2 linked regions of the Cricetulus griseus genome follow. The protein of the gene in region 1 interacts with the protein of each later gene in a pairwise test. Links are inferred from orthologs where the notes say so. Each region holds a gene or a part of one and is shown in the gene's direction. Other genes may lie near its edges.

Region 1 (8,751 bases):
GGCGGAGGACAGAACCACTCTCTTTCTCTCCTGGCTGCCCTGTGCCCAGTACAGGCCTGGCATCTAGCAGAAGCACAATAAGAAAACTCATGAATACTGTGTTCTTAGGCATCCTGACTCCTCCTCCATATCCTGCCATGATAAGGGAGAGCCACAAATGTGCCTGGTGTATTCTCCCTTCCGGGAAGGCGTAACTCTGCCAGCCCAGACCATCGCCTTATCTTTGCATTTTCTTTCATAGGAGATTTCCATTGTGTGGGAAGTGAAGTAAACCCCAGGTGAATGCATGAGGAGCAGATGAAGTCCTGAGTAACGAGAGCAGCCACGTTAAAGATCCCAATGGCGAAGACACACAGGAATCAGCAAAGCTTCCCCCCTTGTCAGGCTCAGGGAATCCCTGTGTGACTGCTGACCGAGTTCACAGAGAGCATCAAACAGCAGCTTCCTCCTACCTGATGTTCACAGCCTGAGACTGCTCCCCTACAGGCAGCCCCCGCCCCCAGCCTCACGTCACTACACACAGTAAATGTGCATTGCGTACCGGTGTGTCTCAGTCAGAGAGTACATGTGCCCCACCTGATCCCAGCTTTCCAGTACACGTGTCCTTTCTTCATTCCCTCATTATCCCAGTCAGGTCTCCAGGACTCAAGCAGTGCTGGATGAGGCGACATTATTAGGGGTTTTCATTATGACCATTCTTTCTTTTCTCTTTTGATTTTTTCAAGGCAGGGGTTCTCTGTGTAGCTTTGGTTATCTTGGAACTTACTCTGCAGACGAGGCTGGCCTCGAATGCAGAGATCCATCCGCCTGCCTCTGTCTCCCTGGGATCAAAGGTGTATGCCACCATTGCCTGCCTAGCTTTATGGCATTCCCATACATAAATATTTACCTCTGTTATTTCCCTCCCTTTTGATGTTTTATTGGTGTTTTGCCTGCATATATGTCTGTGTGAGGGTGGCGGATCCTTGAGTTACAGACAGTTGTGAGCTGCCATGTGGGTGCTGGGGATTGAACCTGAGTCCTCTGGAAGAGTAGTCAGTGCTCTTAACCATTGAGCCATCTCTGCCACCCCCCCCCCCGTTATTCCCTTTTTATTCATCCTGTTTTCTTTTCCCTTCCATACTCCTAACAGTAATCCTGCATTTACTTTCATGTCCGCTTAAAAATCCAGAGTTTACATAAGAGAAAACATGTGATGCCTGTGTTTGTGAGACTGGGTTTCACTTAACATGATGGTCTTTTTTTTTTTTTTTTTTTTTTTTTTGTTTGAGACAGTGTTTCTTTGTGTGACATCCTTGACTGTCCAGGAACTCGCTCTGTAGACCAGGCTGTCCTGGAACTCACAGAAAGCCTGCCTCTGCCTCCCAAGTGCAGAGATTAAAGGTGTGTGCCACCACCACCAGGCCAAGGTCTATTTCCATGCATATTGCCTCTCTCTGTTATGTGTGGTGTATGTCTACGTGCCAGTGCGAAGTCAGGAAAGGATGCTGGGTGTTGTGGAATATTGTTTTAAAATGTGCTACATTTGTTTATGTTGTGGGATATTTGTTTAATGACGCAAAGGTGTGTTGCATTCTTTTATGTCACATTTGTCTAACTCTGTGAAGCCATGATTCTTTGCCTGTCTAAAACACCTGAAGGTCTAATAAAGAGCTGAATGGCCAATAGCGAGGCAGGAGAAAGGATAGGCAGGGCTGGAAGGCAGAGAGAATAAATAGGAGGAGAAATCTGGGAAGATGGAAGATTCAGGAACAGAAAGAGGAGAGAGGACTCCAGGGGCCAGCCACCCAGCTACGCAGAAAGCTACAGAGTAAGAAGAAAGGTATACAGAAAAGTAAAAGCCTGAAGGCAAAAGACAGACAGGGTAATTTAAGAAATTCAAAACCTTTCTGAATTTAGTGAGAGACACACACACACTCTAGAGGTAGAAACAAGCCAAGCTAAGGCCGGGCATTCATAAGAAGGGATGTCTTCATGTATTTATTTGGGAGCTGGGTTATGGGCACCCAAAGAGCAAAGAGTAAAGAATAATAATAATTAAAAAAAAGAACTACATTTTGACACTCAACATGGGGCCTAAGGAAGCCTTTAATCCCAGCGCTCAGGAGCCAGGGGCAGAGGCACACGGATCTGAGTTCAAGGCCAACCTGCTCTACAGAGTTCCAGGATAGCCAGGGCTACACAGAGAAACCCTGTCTTGAAAAACAAAACACCAAAGATTTAAAAGCGCTAGGATTACAGATGTGCTACGAGGCTGGCCCTTGGTTCTAAATGTTTCTTCCCTTCAGACTCCGCAAGCAACTCTCAGAAGGAGCTGTCGTGAAAAGGACTGAGCTCAGGCTAGGACTGTAAAGGCTGGTTCCGTTTTAGCGGTTCACAACACCTCTGTCTGGGAACCATCAGTGGCACAAGGGAGGGAGGTGTTTCTAGCTCCTGCCTTCACCTGGCTTTCACTTCCTTCCTTCCTTCTTCCCTCCCCCTCCTCCACTTCTTTTTTTGAGACAGGGTTTCTCTGTATTGATTTGGAGGCTGTCCTGGAACTCACTCTGTAGACCAGGCGGACCTCTAACTCACAGAGATCCGCCTGCCTCTGCCTCCGGAGTGCTGGGATTAAAGCGGGGGTGGCTTTGTCACTTCTAATGGGAAGAGGAATAAGATGAGGGAGGAAGTCTACTCGATAAAAGCCTTGCTAGCCTTAGTGTCCCTTCTCACAACTCAGGAGCTAGGGAGCACAGGCGCAGGCGTTGTTAATCTTTTACCAGAAGGAGGGCCCCAGGCTCTGACGTCTTCTAAGTGACATGGAATAGGGCTTCCTCCGGTTTGCTCAGTCCAGGAGTCCCAGGAAATGGAGAAGCTGGGGCCAGAAAACCCTAGTCTAGAATGTTGGCTGACTCCTAGGACGTGCAGCCAGGGACTTTTTGAAAGTGTTTATTCTGGCCCCACCCAATTCCATCCAGTCCCCAGCTGTCTGCGGGCTCGGGGATGGGGGCGGGAGGTGCACGGTTCTCGGTGGGTGCGTTGAGGTCTGCAGAAGACCCTTTTGACGCTTGCTCTATCTCTGCTTCTGGGCAACCCTGGGCCGCCCCTTCGTCCTCCGGGAACGCAATCGCCTGCTCAGCGTTCCCGAACCAGAGAGAACCGGACGGCGCCGGGTTCCAGTAAGGGCCCCGGGAGCCCTGAGGTCCCGCTAGTTCCTGGCTCGAACTTTCCAGGTAGAGGCCACGTGGCCTCGCCCGGGCGGGGGGCTCGCCTTCCCCCCACCCTTCCTCGTGAGCCCCGGTGACTCAGGCCGCAGCTGTTCCCGCGTCACATGAGGGAGGCTGGCGGCCACCCCGCGGGGGAGGGGGCTGGCTGGAGCCGGGGCGGGGCCGCGCGGCAGGCGGGGCGCGAGCAGGGGGCGCGGGGGACGGCGGCTGGAGCGCGGCTGGAGAGCGTCGGGAGACGTCGGGGAGCGCAGGTGAGGCTGGGGCTGGCGCGTGCCGGGGGACCCCGGGGGCGCCCGCGGGCACCGGGCCCCAGCCGCCAGAGAGCAGCCCCCGCGCACCGCGCACGGCGCTCGCCCCCGGGCCGGCCCTCGAGCAACTTGGCCTCGAAGTTCGCGACGCCCGCGGGACGCTAGGCACGCCGCGCCGCCCCCGGGGCCCCGGAGGGGGGTCGGGGTCTGCGCTGAGCCCGGCCGGCCGCGCCCTGGGTGCGTCCCGGGATCCAGAGGCTGCGAGCCCGCGCCCCCACCCCTGTCCAGCAGCAGCCACCGCCGCCGCCGCCGCGGGGTGGAGGGGGCAGGGAGACGTGGACCTGACCGCGGGTTTCCGGGTGGGAAGGGCCGCGATGGGGGCCGCGCAGGGAAGGCTGCGAGGGCCGGCGGCGAGCTGCGGAGCCGGTGCCCCCCTCTTCCTGTTCTCATCCCCGTGCTTTCCGCGGCCCCAGGCCCAGCAGCCATGGCGGTGGAAGGAGGAATGAAGTGTGTCAAGTTTCTGCTCTACGTTCTCCTGCTGGCCTTTTGCGTGAGTGGTGGGGGGAAGAGGGACAGAGGGACGGGGCACGCCGGCGGGGTGCGGGAGCCGTGAGGGGTGAGGGACCCAGGAGTGAAGGCAGCTGGAGGCCAGATGTGGAAGGAAAGCCCCAAGAAAGGGCCAGAGGCAGAACGCACCCGGTTCCCTCCCTCTCTCCCTCCCTCCCTCCGGCTTTCCCGGACATCGGAGGAGAGTTTGGGCAGAGAATGGCCACCCTAGATAGGCAGCACCCCCATCCAACCCCCTCCTGGCCCTTCCTGTCTGGTGACCCAACCATTTGTGATATGGGGTAGTGGGGCAACCTGCCAACGGTCTTGATGGTATCGCCGCCATGGGGCTACCCCCACTCTCCACCCGATTTATTCATCTCTATCCTCTCGTCCAGTTGTGGAAGAAAGGGCTCTGCCCACCTTTTCTTGCTCCTGCCCCGAGAAGCTAGTGTTTGTTCTGAGAGGGGCCACTCTTACCCGCCTCCCTCCTCCCTGGCCTATAGTCACTGGAGTGAGGGGGCAGTTCTGAGAGAGTCTTTAGAAAGTAATGAGTATTCAGTTTAAAGGAAGACATGACACCCGATTCCTCTCTCCCTGAGTGTCTCCAACAACTTCCCAGCCTTCACTGTGGGGCAAGGATGGGCAGACATATTTCTTTTCTTTTCTTTTTTTTTTTTTTTTCAGTTTTTCGAGACAGGGTTTCTCTGTGTAGCTTTGGAGCCTATCCTGGCACTTGCTCTGGAGACCAGGCTGGCCTCGAACTCACAGAGATCCGCCTGCCTCTGCCTCCCGAGTGCTGGGATTAAAGGCATGCGCCACCAACACCCGGCTGCAGACATATTTCTTTACAGTCAGTGGATCTTGGAGGTGTTAGGAATCTCTTTTCTGGGCCAGGCGGTAGCCCCTGCCTTTAATCCCAGCACTGGGGAGGCAGGGGCAGGCAGATCTCTGTGAGTTCAAGGTCAACCTGGTCTATAGAGCTACCTCCAGGACAGCCAGAGCTATTACACAGAGAAACGTTGTCTCCAAAACACCAGGGGTGGGGGTCAGGTGTGAGGGCTATTCGACTGAGGATCTGATCAAACCCTCACTTTTCCCCTCAGGCCTGTGCAGTGGCATTGATTGCCATTGGTGTAGCAGTTCAGGTTGTTTTGAATCAGACCATCACCCGTGAGACTACGCCTGGCTCCCTGTTGCCTGTGGTCATCATTGCAGTGGGCGCCTTCCTCTTCCTGGTAGCCTTTGTGGGCTGCTGTGGGGCCTGCAAGGAGAACTACTGTCTTATGATTACAGTGAGTGGGGTGCAGGAGAGCAGGACTCCTGGGACTACCAGAGGGCATTTTTGTGGGGAGGTGGGTGGGCGAGGAACACAAGGAGTGTCTCCGGATTGAGTGGAGCAGAGCAAGCCCTTTAAATGCAGACTTCAAACCCAACTCCTGTCCTGTGCTCCTACAGTTTGCCATCTTCCTGTCTCTTATCATGCTAGTGGAGGTGGCTGTAGCCATTGCCGGCTATGTGTTTAGAGACAAGGTAAGTGGGGAGTAAGGGGAACCCTGTCTCTGCGGGCTATTCTGGGGCTCCAGGGCCTGAATTTGCTCTCAACAACCTGCTTCTCTACTTTTAGGTGAAGTCAGAGTTTAATAAGAACTTCCGGCAGCAGATGCAAAATTACCTTAAAGACAACAAGACGGCCTTAGTTCTGGACGGATGGCAGAAGGAAGTGAGTGGGAAGGTTGGGAGGAGGGGTGGTGGGGATTGAAGATTCTCATCTCTGAATTAAAGTGGGGTTTCGATTTAGCAACCTTCCCTCCTCACTCTCCTAGTTTGAGTGCTGTGGAGCTAACAACTACACAGATTGGGAGAACATCACTGGTATGCCTAAGGACCGAGTCCCTGATTCCTGCTGCATCAACATCACTGTGGGCTGTGGAATTGATTTCAAGGAAAACAAGATCCATACTCAGGTAGGGAGAAGACATTAGACTAGGGAAACCTGGGAAATGTTTCAGGAGACAGGAGAGATGCTAATGGAATCAGGGTTGGGGATGAGATCTGGGGAGAAGGGGCTGGGAGGAGGAGACAGTCTGGAAGAGAGGTGGGGAGGGAGGTAGGAAGTTTCTTTCTGTTGGTATCCATGCTTGCCTCTTCCCTTCAGGGCTGCGTGGAGAATATAGGGGTCTGGCTGAGGAAGAATGTATTGCTGGTGGCTGCAGCAGCCCTGGGCATTGCTTTTGTGGAGGTAAGAAATGCTGTGGGTTGGGGCGATCCAGACCATCTGGGGAGCAGGCGGGGCTGGCCTGGGAAGAACGGCCCTTGGACGGGTCTGGGGAAGCTTGCCCTGCCTCCTCTCCATCCTCGTTCCCATCTTTCCTTGTAGATCCTGGGAATAATCTTCTCTTGCTGTCTGGTGAAAAGTATCCGAAGTGGCTATGAAGTAATGTAGGGGGCGGGTCTGATCTCTTCCGTCTTTTCATCTAAGGGAATGGATTCTCCAGGTTTTTCAATTAAACGGATTATTTTTTCAGACCTAAAAAGGAGATGGTCTCAGTTTATCTTAGAATGATGATGGCCCCTTCCTTTTCCTTCTCCCTACCCCTGCCCTGGGAATAGGCAGGCCATTTAGGGGGAGTTTGGGAAAGGGGTATTTTGTTGGTGTTGGCTGGGTTGGCAGTGGGAGAAGTGGGGGATCAAGGAGGATGTGTCCGAGTGCCCTCCCTGACCCCTGGTTTTGTGTACCTTCAGTGTTCTTGGAGTATGTGTTGAGGCCATCTCCTGCGTAAGTCAGAGGGTTTTCCCACAAAGGACCTACGTGGTAAAGCCTGACCCATGTCTATTTTGGCCTCCTGGTGCCTTGAGGGCCCGCAAACTCCTTCCCCCTCAGTCCTCAAGGAGACCTGGCGACTGTCAGAATGGTTATGTTGCTTAAGATCTGTGTGGCCAGTGTCCTTGATCCTTGCCTTAGGTAATGGGAATTTACGTATTTCCTTCTTCCATGGAAGCCTCCGGCTTTGACCATTTTCATCCCCAGAAACATTAGATTATGCCTTGCCAGGTGCAAACGAACTCTCACTACTCTATGTAGAAAAAGCAGACAAAAGTGCCCTCCGGTGGCCATCTCTCCAAGTGCAGCTTCAAAAAACATCTCTAAGTGCAAGGTAGTTCCTTACACCCCCCAGTGGACAACAGAAGTTTTGCAGGCACTAAAGAAGCCTGAGAGTTCCAGCCCTAGGGAGCTTTGGGATTTTAGAAATCTTAGAAATTTTGTCAGGCTCTCACAGGTACCTTCATTTCTGTTCACCTACTTTTTCTTTTAAAGCAATACATATTTATTGAGAGCTGACTTTGTGCCAGGAACCAGGCAGCACCAGAGAGTGGAGACAGAGATAAATGTTTTGCCCTTCAAAATCGGCCTCTTGCTGGAAAGCTGGAATCAGTAGATTGACTGGGCAGGCTGGGGAAGGACCCAAGTGAGCACAGCATCCACCAGGCTGGCTGGAAGGTAGGAGGCCGGCAGCCAGAGCAGCTTGGCATCCCAGCCTGGGCTGTAGCGGGTTCGGGGGTGACGAGCAGTCAGGGCATGCTCCAGGCAGCTGGTCACCTTCGTTAGGTCTGGGTCACAGATCAGGTTCATGATGCGACGCTGAACTTGGAGATCTGTATCTTAGGAGATGCATCGTTAGCGTGCACGTGGTCCCTGCCTCCCCTCCATCCCATCTTAGTCTGTCTTACAGATCACCTGGGCTGGTAGCCCAGTTCAGGAAGTGACCACACCTCCCTCTGTCTCCCCGTTTTCCTCCCTACTAGGCCTGACCTTTCTAGCCCTCTCTTTTTCCCATCATGCACTCAATATGGGCCCAGCTACTCACAAGAAGCGAGGAAGGCTTCCCCATACTGGGCCTGTGTAGACGGTGGTAGCCGGGCCCAACAAGCCTTCAGGGTGTTCTCTAGACTCTCCAGGTTGGTCACAGGAGTTCGGAAGAAGCCAGGTTCCACAATGGAGACTTGTACTCCAAATGGAGCCATGTCCCGCCTGGAGGGTGGGCAGAGGGGTTTATGGGTTTATACCCTAGGTTTCCAGGAGTGAGGAGTCTAAGATGGAATGGTGTCACAGTGTAAGGACACATGTCCTGACAGGAAAGGCTGTTGCTAGTTGGCTTGGGATGAGGACCATGGGAAGTTGTTTTTTTTCCTCTGGCACTGAAGATAAACCTAGGGCCTGTGTGTGTGTGTGTGTGTGTGGTATGTAAGCAACTGAGCCATACCATCACCAGCCCAGGGGGAGGTATCTTTCACTTTGTTTTCCTTGTATTTTCTTAAAAAAAAAGATTATTGGTTATTTATATGTGTATTGCATGAGTTCATGTGCACCATATGTGCACAGGAGCCTTTGTTGGTTACAAGGTGTCAGATACCTTGCAACTGCAGTTACAGGCTGTTATGAACCACCTTGTAGGTGCTGGGAACCAAACCTGGGTCCTCTGCAAGAGCAGTAATCATTCTTATTTTCCCAGTCATCTCTGTGACCCCGTTTTTGGTTTTTGAGACAGGGTCTCATGTTCCAGGCTAGCCTTGAACTCCTGGTGACTTTTGTCTCTACCTTCCATGTGTTGGGATTACAGGTGTGAGCCATCATGTTAGTCTGGATATTTTTCTCTCGTTTTTAAACATTTATTTTATGAGACAGGGTCCCACTATGTAGCATAGGCTAGTCTTGAAAACTTCTTGTACTTAAAAAAATTGTACTTACT
Region 2 (8,751 bases), on another chromosome or scaffold:
TCCCAAGAAGCACAGGAAGCCCCATAGTCTAAGGGTGACTGATTGACCTTCAGGTCTCTCCCTCCCTCTACAACTTCCTCCTCCCTCATTTCCCAAATGTGTGTCGTCATGAGGATGGGGGGAGGGCTGAGTGGCATGGGTTTGGAAAGGGGGATGGCGGTAAGGGTGTCATCCAGGCAGCAGGCCAAAGAAACAATGCCAAGGTATGTGTTGCGTGTGAGAAGAGAGAGATCTCCCACTCAGGCGTCTACTCATCACACAGAGAAGTATGAGGCATGCACAGTTATATTTGCAACCTTCAACTCTCAGAAGAAACACCCTTAGATATATGCCTGGCTCTCAGGAAGGGAAATTGAGCCCACCAAGGGACACATGCCAGTCACAGAGGCACAGACACACCAGAGAGCTGTGCACATGCAAGCATACCTACTTCTACTTGCTGAGCTTTCTGGATCCTTTTTATAAACCAACTTTGTTTCCTCTGTTCCTGAGCTTGAACACAGTGCTGTGTGTGCATGTAAGTGTGTCTGTCTGTCATATGTACATACAGAGGGCTTGGGATTTCCTGGAGAGCCGTAACCTGCTATCTTGGCCTTCTTCCTAAGGCCGGGTGAGATCCCGGGTAGATACCATCTCTCTGGGCCTCAGTTTCCTGATCTGCACAAAAGGTATAATCAAGACCAAGCACTTAACACTTTCTTGGGGATCATCAGGTATTTGCACATGCCAGTGAATTCCTCACACTTACCCAGTTCCCCAGATAGAGACAAGCCAAACACCTTGACATCCACCCCACTGCATTTCAAACCTGCACAACAATCAAAATCCTCACATGTAACCAGTTGGCAAAAGTGGGCTGACTCAGGTTTTATAAAGAGCTGGTGTCAGAAGCAGGGTCATAGAGGAGAGACTGGACTTTCCCTCTCTTTACTTCTCCTCAGTCCCGCCACCTACTTACTCAGCCCTGTCTCATCTACTCTCACTCCTCACTTTCACAATCAGACAGTTGAGAATTTTGGTTTCCTTTCCTTTGTTCCTTTCTTTGTATCCCTACCTCCCCACCACAGTGATTTCTTCACTATCATTCCTGGACAGGCCATTTGACCCCTTTCTGTCTCTATTTTCTCATTAAATAATGAAAATATGAATTGTAACTCACAGGCATGTTGGGAAGAATAAATCAATTACTTCAGAGGGGAAAAAATCTTAGTATACACATAAAGTAAACCCGAATCTTCAAAGTGCTGGTTACTATTATCGCTGTTATTACTGATTTGACAACTCTTCATTAATTGACATTAAGGGAGAATGAGGACAATAGCAAATGAAGGAACAAAAAATCCAGTGCTTGCTGCCTGACAACCTGAGTGTGAGTTCGTAGGGAAGGAGAGGACTGGCTCCTGCAGGTGGAGAGCAATACAAGCATGAGTACAGCTACACACACACACACACACACACACACACACACACACACACACTGAATAAATATAAGAAATCTTTTGTATATGGTGAGGGTTCTGTTGAGTGCTGGCAGTAGGTTTTTGTATGCTGTGGTTATTGAGCTAATCTAAATTAACAAAATTTAATTAGCTAAAATGACTGTACACAAAGATCTTAGCAATAGTACACAGTAAGTGCTCAACCAAGTAGCTGCTGTCATCACTATCATTATCATTTTGTGTGTGTGTGTGTGTGTGTGTGTGTGTGTGTGTGTGTGTGTGTGTGTGTGTGTGTGTGACAAGGTCTCACTATGTATGTTCCAGGCTGTCCTGGAACTCACTATGTAGACCAGGCTATCCTCAAACTCTCCGGATCCACTTGCCTGCTGGGATTACAGCCATTGTCATTACTATTGGTCTACCCTGCCTGGATTAATTGAGGGTGTTAATCATCCCATAGAACCTTCCACACGACCCCAGAGAATATCCCTGCATCATCAGGAAGCGGGTGGGCAGTAGTTGCCTCATCCCACCCCACCAGGGATGTGGGCTGGTTGGTGGGAAAGGAGCTGGGCAGGATGGGGTGGGGATGGGTTTTCTACTGACTCACTAGCTTCTTTCACCATCATCCACACCCTCACTCCCCCCATTCTCACCACACTATTCCCTGGTTGCCAAGATTGGGCTCCGCCTGAGTGAGGATCTCAGTGTCAAGAAGCCCAGGTTTAAATCCCAGTTTTGTTCTGTGACCCTGGCAAAGTTCTTCACTTCAGCTATTTGCCTGCTTGATTTTGTTTCTGCTTAAGACAGGGTCTCTCGTAGCACAGACTATCTTCAAACATCCTAAGTTCTAGGCTCACTCATGTGTACAACCACAGCAAACTTTTGGGGATAGGTTACCACCTAAGCTCTATCTGCAGGCCACCTCAGTTCCTCTCCCAGTTCTGACACACTTAACTGCCATCTTCAAAAAATAACAGACACTCTCGGTGAATCAATTTCCTCACTATGTATTTGTGTCTCTTCTCCCATCTCATGGCCCTCAACTCTTTTTCTAGTTTGTCTTCCCCTCTGCCACCCCTCAACAAAAACGCCAGGTCCACTAGGAAAGCCGGCCTTGCAACAAAGTAGATGTACTAAGGCGCAGGAATGAAGCCATTGGCTTCAGCCATAGGAAGTTTGGGGAATGTAGGGAACTGGATAAGCACAGGGCTGTGGGGGCTTGGGCTGCCTTTCCATTTCCCCTTCAAGGCCGCCAGGGAGGAATGCGAGTGACGTGGAGCTGGGGGGAAGGGGCACAGTGGGCTGGCTGGCAGTGGAGGGAGTATCTTTAGGCCGGTCCTCCGGCCCGCCCCTAGGCTTCGATTCCTGCGGTGGGTGGATGAGTAATGCGTCCAGGAAGCCTGGAGGCTGTGATTTCCGCGCCAACTCCGCCCCTTGCATGGACATTTATTCTTCACCGCTCAGTCCCTGCCGCCATCGCCGCAGATCGGGCTTCTAGAGAGACACCAGAGGTAAGTGGGAGCCGGGTGTCCTGGCTGGAGCCTGTGTTGGTGCGACCACCAGGCACATCCGGTTCCCTGCCAGACTAGCTGCTTGACTGGGCTTGCAGGTATCAAGACCTCTATTTGGCCAAGGGGGAATACGAAGGGAAGGTTTTTGGAATGAGTATCCCAAGCTAGACTCTCCGGACTCCCTCATGCCCCTAGCATTCATCCCCAAGTGCTCCAAACCCACAAGCCTCTAATGCCTTAAAGACCTCCCAACTTGCCAACTCCTCTGAATTTTTCATTGTTCCCCCAAACCCCTATAGCTCCCTTAACTCCCCCTGCCCTCAAACTTTGCCATGTCCAGCTCCTGGAACTTCAAAAGTTCTTCTGCCTTCAAATTCCTCAACACTCCCATTACCTTAAACTCCCAAATTCCCCCAGACCCCATAACCCCTAAATTTCCCCCAGTTTCCTAAAATCCCAAACCTCCTCTAAAACCCTTAGTAGCCACAAATCCCCATGCCCATTATATCTTAATCTCCCTCAGCTCCCAGCCTCCCCTTATACTTCTCCAGTTTCCCAAACCCCAAATTCTTGACTCCACAAATGTCAGTCTCCAGACTTCTCCAACTCCACTAAATTCTCAAACTTCTCAGCTCCTGGACTCATCAACTGCCACAACTCCATTATCTTCCTATTCACTGTCTCCTAAATCACTGGAACTCAATAAAACCCAAAACTTTCCCAACTGTTTAAGCCCCTAAACCTCTCCAGGTTTCTCACCCCTTAAGATTCTCAGGGTTCCCTAATCTCCCTAGGGCCAATGGGTAAACAGATCAGTTGGGCTGGGGATCAACTACTACCTTGTCTCTCCCAGCAGATACCACTATGGCCCCCTTTGCATCTCTGGCCTCAGGCATCCTCTTGTTGCTATCACTGATAACCTCCAGCAAGGCCTGTAGCTGTGCCCCACCCCACCCACAGACAGCCTTCTGCAACTCCGACCTGGGTGAGTCTAGCCCCCTTTCTGTGCCTCTTAGTCCAATAGGGCTCATGATGGCAGTTATCTCTACAACAGTTGTACTTACCCTTGCATAGATCCACTTTGGCCATATTGACATCCTTAGGCCTAAGCCCACCTTTGTGTTGGCTGTTCCCTCCCAGGTAGATATTTCTCTGTAGTTATTCACATGGGTGGCTACCTCAAGAGTCATCTTACTGGGGTGCCTGTCTACTTTGTTTAAATTTTAATCCCTGCCATATAGTACATCTGATTCCCTGTTAAATAAAACTGTGAATTACACTTCTTAGGGCACAGAAAGGCAGACTTTATTCAGGACCATGGCAATCAGATTTTTCAGTCAGGGAGAGAGATTGGGCTTAACTCTCAACATAGCATAGGCAAATGGAACTCTACAGCCAAGGAACAGTTTAGGGATTGGTGACTGGGAAATCACTGAGAAGAAATATCACAGGCAAGGAGTAAAAAGATTCAGGCTAAGCCCATTTTTTAAAAAAAGATTTATTTTTGCTGGGCGTCGGTGGCACACGCCTTTGATCCCAGCACTCAGGAGGCAGAGGCAGGCTGATCTCTGTGAGTTCGAGGTCAGCCTGGTCTCCAGAGTGAGTGCCAGGATAGGCTCCAAAGCTACACAGAGAAACCCTGTCTCGAAAAAAAAAAACAAAAAGGTTTATTTTTATTTATGTCTATGTGTGTGTGCACCATGTGTGGTGTGCAGGTGCCTGTGGAATCCAGAAGGCATCAGATCCCCTGGAGCTGGAGTTACAAGTGGTTGTGAGCCATGCTATGTGGATGCTGGGAATCAAACTTGGGTTCTCTAGAAGAGCAGCAAGTGTTCTGAACCATTAAGACATCTCTCGAGCCCATGAGCTCACTTTTTTGAGAGTAGGTCTCACTATGTAGCCCAGGCTGGCTTTGAACCCTTCATCCTCCTCACTCAGCCTTCCAAGTGCCGAGATTACAGGCCTGTGCCACCATACCCAGTTCAGGACTCTTGCTGAGAACTGGCCAGTGTAATCACCTGATGGTCAGTGGAAAATATGGAGCCCCTTCACATATCGAGGAGAGTCAGATGAGGGTGGGTTTTTCACTAAACTGATTTAGTATACTTTGGTACAAGTGGATTTTTCTTTTTCTTTTTCTTTTCTTTTCTTTTCTTTTTTTTTTTTTTTTGGTTTTTCGAGACAGGGCTTATCTGTGTAACATCCCTGGCAGTCCTGGAACTCCTATCTGTAGACCAGGCTTGCCTCAAATTCACAGAGATCTGCTTGCCTCTGCCTCCCGATTGCTGGTATTAAAGGTGTGAACCACCACCACCTGGCATCTACAACTGCATTTTTAAGAGAAACTGCACTTATAAGCTTGGAAGAAGGTTAATGAGCCTGAGTAAATTGTGGTCAAGCAAAGAATATGTGTCAATCTCCTCCCTTTTCTAATTCTCCATCATACTTAACAGCCTTTAACAATCCATATACCTTTTTCTCCATACTGGGGATTGAACCTAGGACTTTTCATATGCTAAGCAAATTGAGGTACAAACCCAACCCTTTTGTGAATTTCATTTTAAAACAGGGTCTCACTAAATTGTCTAGACTGGTCTTGAACTCACACTGTAGTGGTCCTCCTTCATCACCTTGACAGAGCTGGGGTTACAGGTTTGTGCCACCATGCCTGGCTACTTAATTTTAGTTATATCCTCCTGGCTTGAATGTGAGATCCACAAGGAAATGGATTCCTGTGTTTGGGTCACTGTTGTGTCCCTAACACCCTGAACAGTGGCTGCATATATCAGGCACTCCAAAATATTTGTTGAGAAAGCCAACAGATGGATATATGAAAAGTGCTTAAAACAGTACCTGGAAGAGTAGACAATGTATAGATGAATCAATCAACAGACATGGAAACATGGAAACCATTAAGTGTGCTGTCTCTATTAGAATTATGCTTGTATATATGTTTTGCTGTTATGGGTTCATGCTGCTCACTTAACTCCTTATTTTCCCCTTCCTTTCTAGTCATAAGGGCTAAATTCATGGGGCCCCCAGAAATCATTTTCAACTTATACCAACGTTATGAGATCAAGATGACTAAGGTATTCCTTCCTTCCTCCCTCCCTCCCTTCCTCCCTCCTTCTCTCCCTCTCTCCCTCCCTCCTCTTTCCCTGTCTCCCTCCATAGCCATATTAACCTCTTCCTCCTCCTCAAAATACTAGCATCTAGCCTTTGGTTGGTGTGGACGTTTCCCATAATTTTGTGATTTAGATATATGACATCAGGTTAAGAGGTAATGGAGTGGGAGGATTAAATCAGTAAAAGATAGACTTTTTGTCACTCATGGGCAGATGCTCAAAGGATTCGACGCTGTGGGAAATGCCGCAGATTTCCGGTTCGCCTACACCCCAGCCCTTGAGAGCCTCTGCGGATATGTCCACAAGTCCCAGAACCGCAGCGAGGAGTTTCTCATCGCGGGTGAGGCCCGCCCCTTCGCTTTGGGCCACACCCCTTCATCCTCAGATGCTTCCTGGCAACTGGGAGGAGCGAGGCTCTAAAGGGAAAGGACCTGGTTGAAATGGGGGCGGGAAGGTTTGTAAACTAATGCTAATCAGGTAACCCCAGCACCACCCGGCCAATCAAAAGCCTGTTGGTTTCTCCATTCCCTTACAGGACGCCTAAGGAATGGAAGTTTGCACATCAGTGCCTGCAGCTTCTTGGTTCCCTGGTATAGCCTGACCCCTGCTCAGCAAAAAGCCTTCTCAAAGACGTATAGTGCTGGCTGTGGGGTGTGCACAGTAAGTTCCTAGAACCAGCTCTCTTTCTGGAGATAATACCTGGAACGGTTTCTTTTTCCCTCTGGCTATTCTTTGTTATTGTAGCTGCTTCCCAAACCCAACCACTGCCTTTAATTTCTCTTGTTGTCCCAAACCTGCTCTTTTGGAGATACTGGTTGTTCTATTATCTTGGGACTGCATGTTCCCTGAACCTTCTCTGCCTCTCTAACTTTTCTTTTGTGTCTACTCTGAAATACTGCTGTCTGTTTCTGATCTCCCAAGATTGGGTTTGGCTTCCCAGGCATGTTCTGCAAGAATTCAACGTGTGATTTTCCAAATCCACAGGGATATGTCGACCTGGCTATTTCAAAACTGTTCCCTGACAGCAATAAATATCCTCTGACCTCAGTCACTGTCTGAGAGCCCCGTTGCCTATTCTTATGCTTAACCTCTCTGCATGCCAACTGTTACCCTCTACTCAGTTCTCTGCCCTGTGAGGCCTGCCTGAGTGACTTCAAGAGATAGTTTCCTACCCACCATTCCAGAACACTGGCTTTCTGTTCCCCAAATGGGAGAAGCTGTTCTCGGGTCTAAACACAGGTGGGGCAATGTCAAGCCTTCCCAGCTGCTCTGTGTTGCCAGAAGGAGAGTGGAACACTCTCCATAGGGGAGGGAACAGGGGAAGAAGAAGCCCCCAGAGTGGACCTTTCTCTCATCTTCCAGGTGTTTCCCTGTTCAACCATGCCTTGCAAACTGGAGAGTGATACTCATTGCTTGTGGACAGATCAGATCCTCACGGGCTCTGAGAAGGGCTACCAGAGCCGTAACTTTGCCTGCTTGCCTCGGAATCCACAGTTGTGTGCCTGGCAATCCCTGAGGGCCTAGATGACCCAAAGCCTACCCCCAGTGGAAGCTGAAGCCTGCACACTGCTCCCCTCCCCTCCATCTTTCTTTCTTTTAGACAGTGAAATAAAGAACTACCACACAGCAGTGCCGTTTCAGTGTAGTGTCTGGGAACAAACTCAAGACAATGATAACCTGGTGGGAGCATCCAGGGTCCAATGAAAAATGAATCCATTTGAAATGTTGAGTTTGGAGGCTGGAAATGTAACTTAGTGGTAGAGCAGCTGTTTTTCATGTACAAAGCCTCAGGGTCAATCTCTAGCAAAAAAGAAAGGAACAAAGGCCAACCTAGTCTACAGAGAGAGAGAGAATTCTAGGACAGCCAGGACTACATACTACCCTGTTTCCAAAATCTGAAACAAGAAAAAAAAAGGAAAAAGTGTTGGGTTTTTATACTTTACAAAAAAATAATATATTGGTAATAATCTAAACATTGGCATTAGTACTGGAACCTGAAAAATCAGTAATGATTACTCACTTTGCATTACCAACTCCAATCTATTGAATATTTCTCTACTCAATACTTTGAGACATCTTAGTACAGTGATTTTTTTTTTCAATTAGCAATAATCGCGCCTCGGATAAACCTCATTGGCTCCGATACTGCCACTGTGCAAAGCTGATTATTATTATTTTTGTTTCCTTTTTGTCTTTCTCTATGTGTTAATGTGTACCAGTAAAGGCTTATACATGCCATGACAGTCAAATGACAGCCTTGGGTGTCTGACCTTACTTTATCTGAGACAGGGTCTCATTGTTTACTGCATACAGCAGGCTGGGATTCTCCTTTCTTCCAGTTTACAAACAGATGCAAATTACCACTGCCCAGCTTTGTGTGGATTTGGGGATTCAATTTTAGGTCCTCATACTTGCATGACAAGTGCTTTATTCACTAAGACATCTCTCCAGCTCCATTTTGCACCCCTTTTTGAGACAGGCTGGCCTCTCACACTTGCTGTAATTCTCCTCCCTGTTTCCTGATTGCTGGGATTATAGACATTTGCCACCACACCATGCCTACTAGAGAAATTTCTAATTCCTACTTGCCCAAGCTTCTCTAGTTAGTAAATTATCCAGTTGAAAATTCCCCTATTCACAAATATCACCCCATTGACAAATTCATTGAAAACT

Evidence for each region.
Region 2: the proteins of Cd63 (region 1) and Timp1 interact in binary tests that used the Homo sapiens proteins (3 or more experiments, as listed by UniProt). The link is inferred for Cricetulus griseus from reciprocal best matches to the Homo sapiens genes CD63 and TIMP1.

What each region holds. Positions count from the first base shown.
Region 1 is NW_023276806.1:129,013,168-129,021,918, reverse strand, and holds Cd63 (CD63 antigen), read left to right. Parts: upstream 1-3,187; 5' UTR 3,188-3,212; intron 3,213-3,348; exon of another isoform or gene 3,349-3,457; intron 3,458-3,927; 5' UTR 3,928-3,938; coding exon 3,939-4,004; intron 4,005-5,106; coding exon 5,107-5,295; intron 5,296-5,458; coding exon 5,459-5,533; intron 5,534-5,627; coding exon 5,628-5,723; intron 5,724-5,826; coding exon 5,827-5,967; intron 5,968-6,158; coding exon 6,159-6,242; intron 6,243-6,380; coding exon 6,381-6,446; 3' UTR 6,447-6,540; downstream 6,541-8,751. Other genes in the region: Rdh5 (retinol dehydrogenase 5), read right to left, coding at 7,434-7,657, 7,870-8,033. UniProt on the Homo sapiens protein: Functions as a cell surface receptor for TIMP1 and plays a role in the activation of cellular signaling cascades. Plays a role in the activation of ITGB1 and integrin signaling, leading to the activation of AKT, FAK/PTK2 and MAP kinases.
Region 2 is NC_048604.1:125,721,656-125,730,406, forward strand, and holds Timp1 (metalloproteinase inhibitor 1), read left to right. Parts: upstream 1-2,797; 5' UTR 2,798-2,953; intron 2,954-3,806; exon of another isoform or gene 3,807-3,809; 5' UTR 3,810-3,817; coding exon 3,818-3,938; intron 3,939-5,965; coding exon 5,966-6,042; intron 6,043-6,291; coding exon 6,292-6,418; intron 6,419-6,613; coding exon 6,614-6,738; intron 6,739-7,440; coding exon 7,441-7,602; 3' UTR 7,603-7,707; downstream 7,708-8,751. UniProt on the Homo sapiens protein: Metalloproteinase inhibitor that functions by forming one to one complexes with target metalloproteinases, such as collagenases, and irreversibly inactivates them by binding to their catalytic zinc cofactor.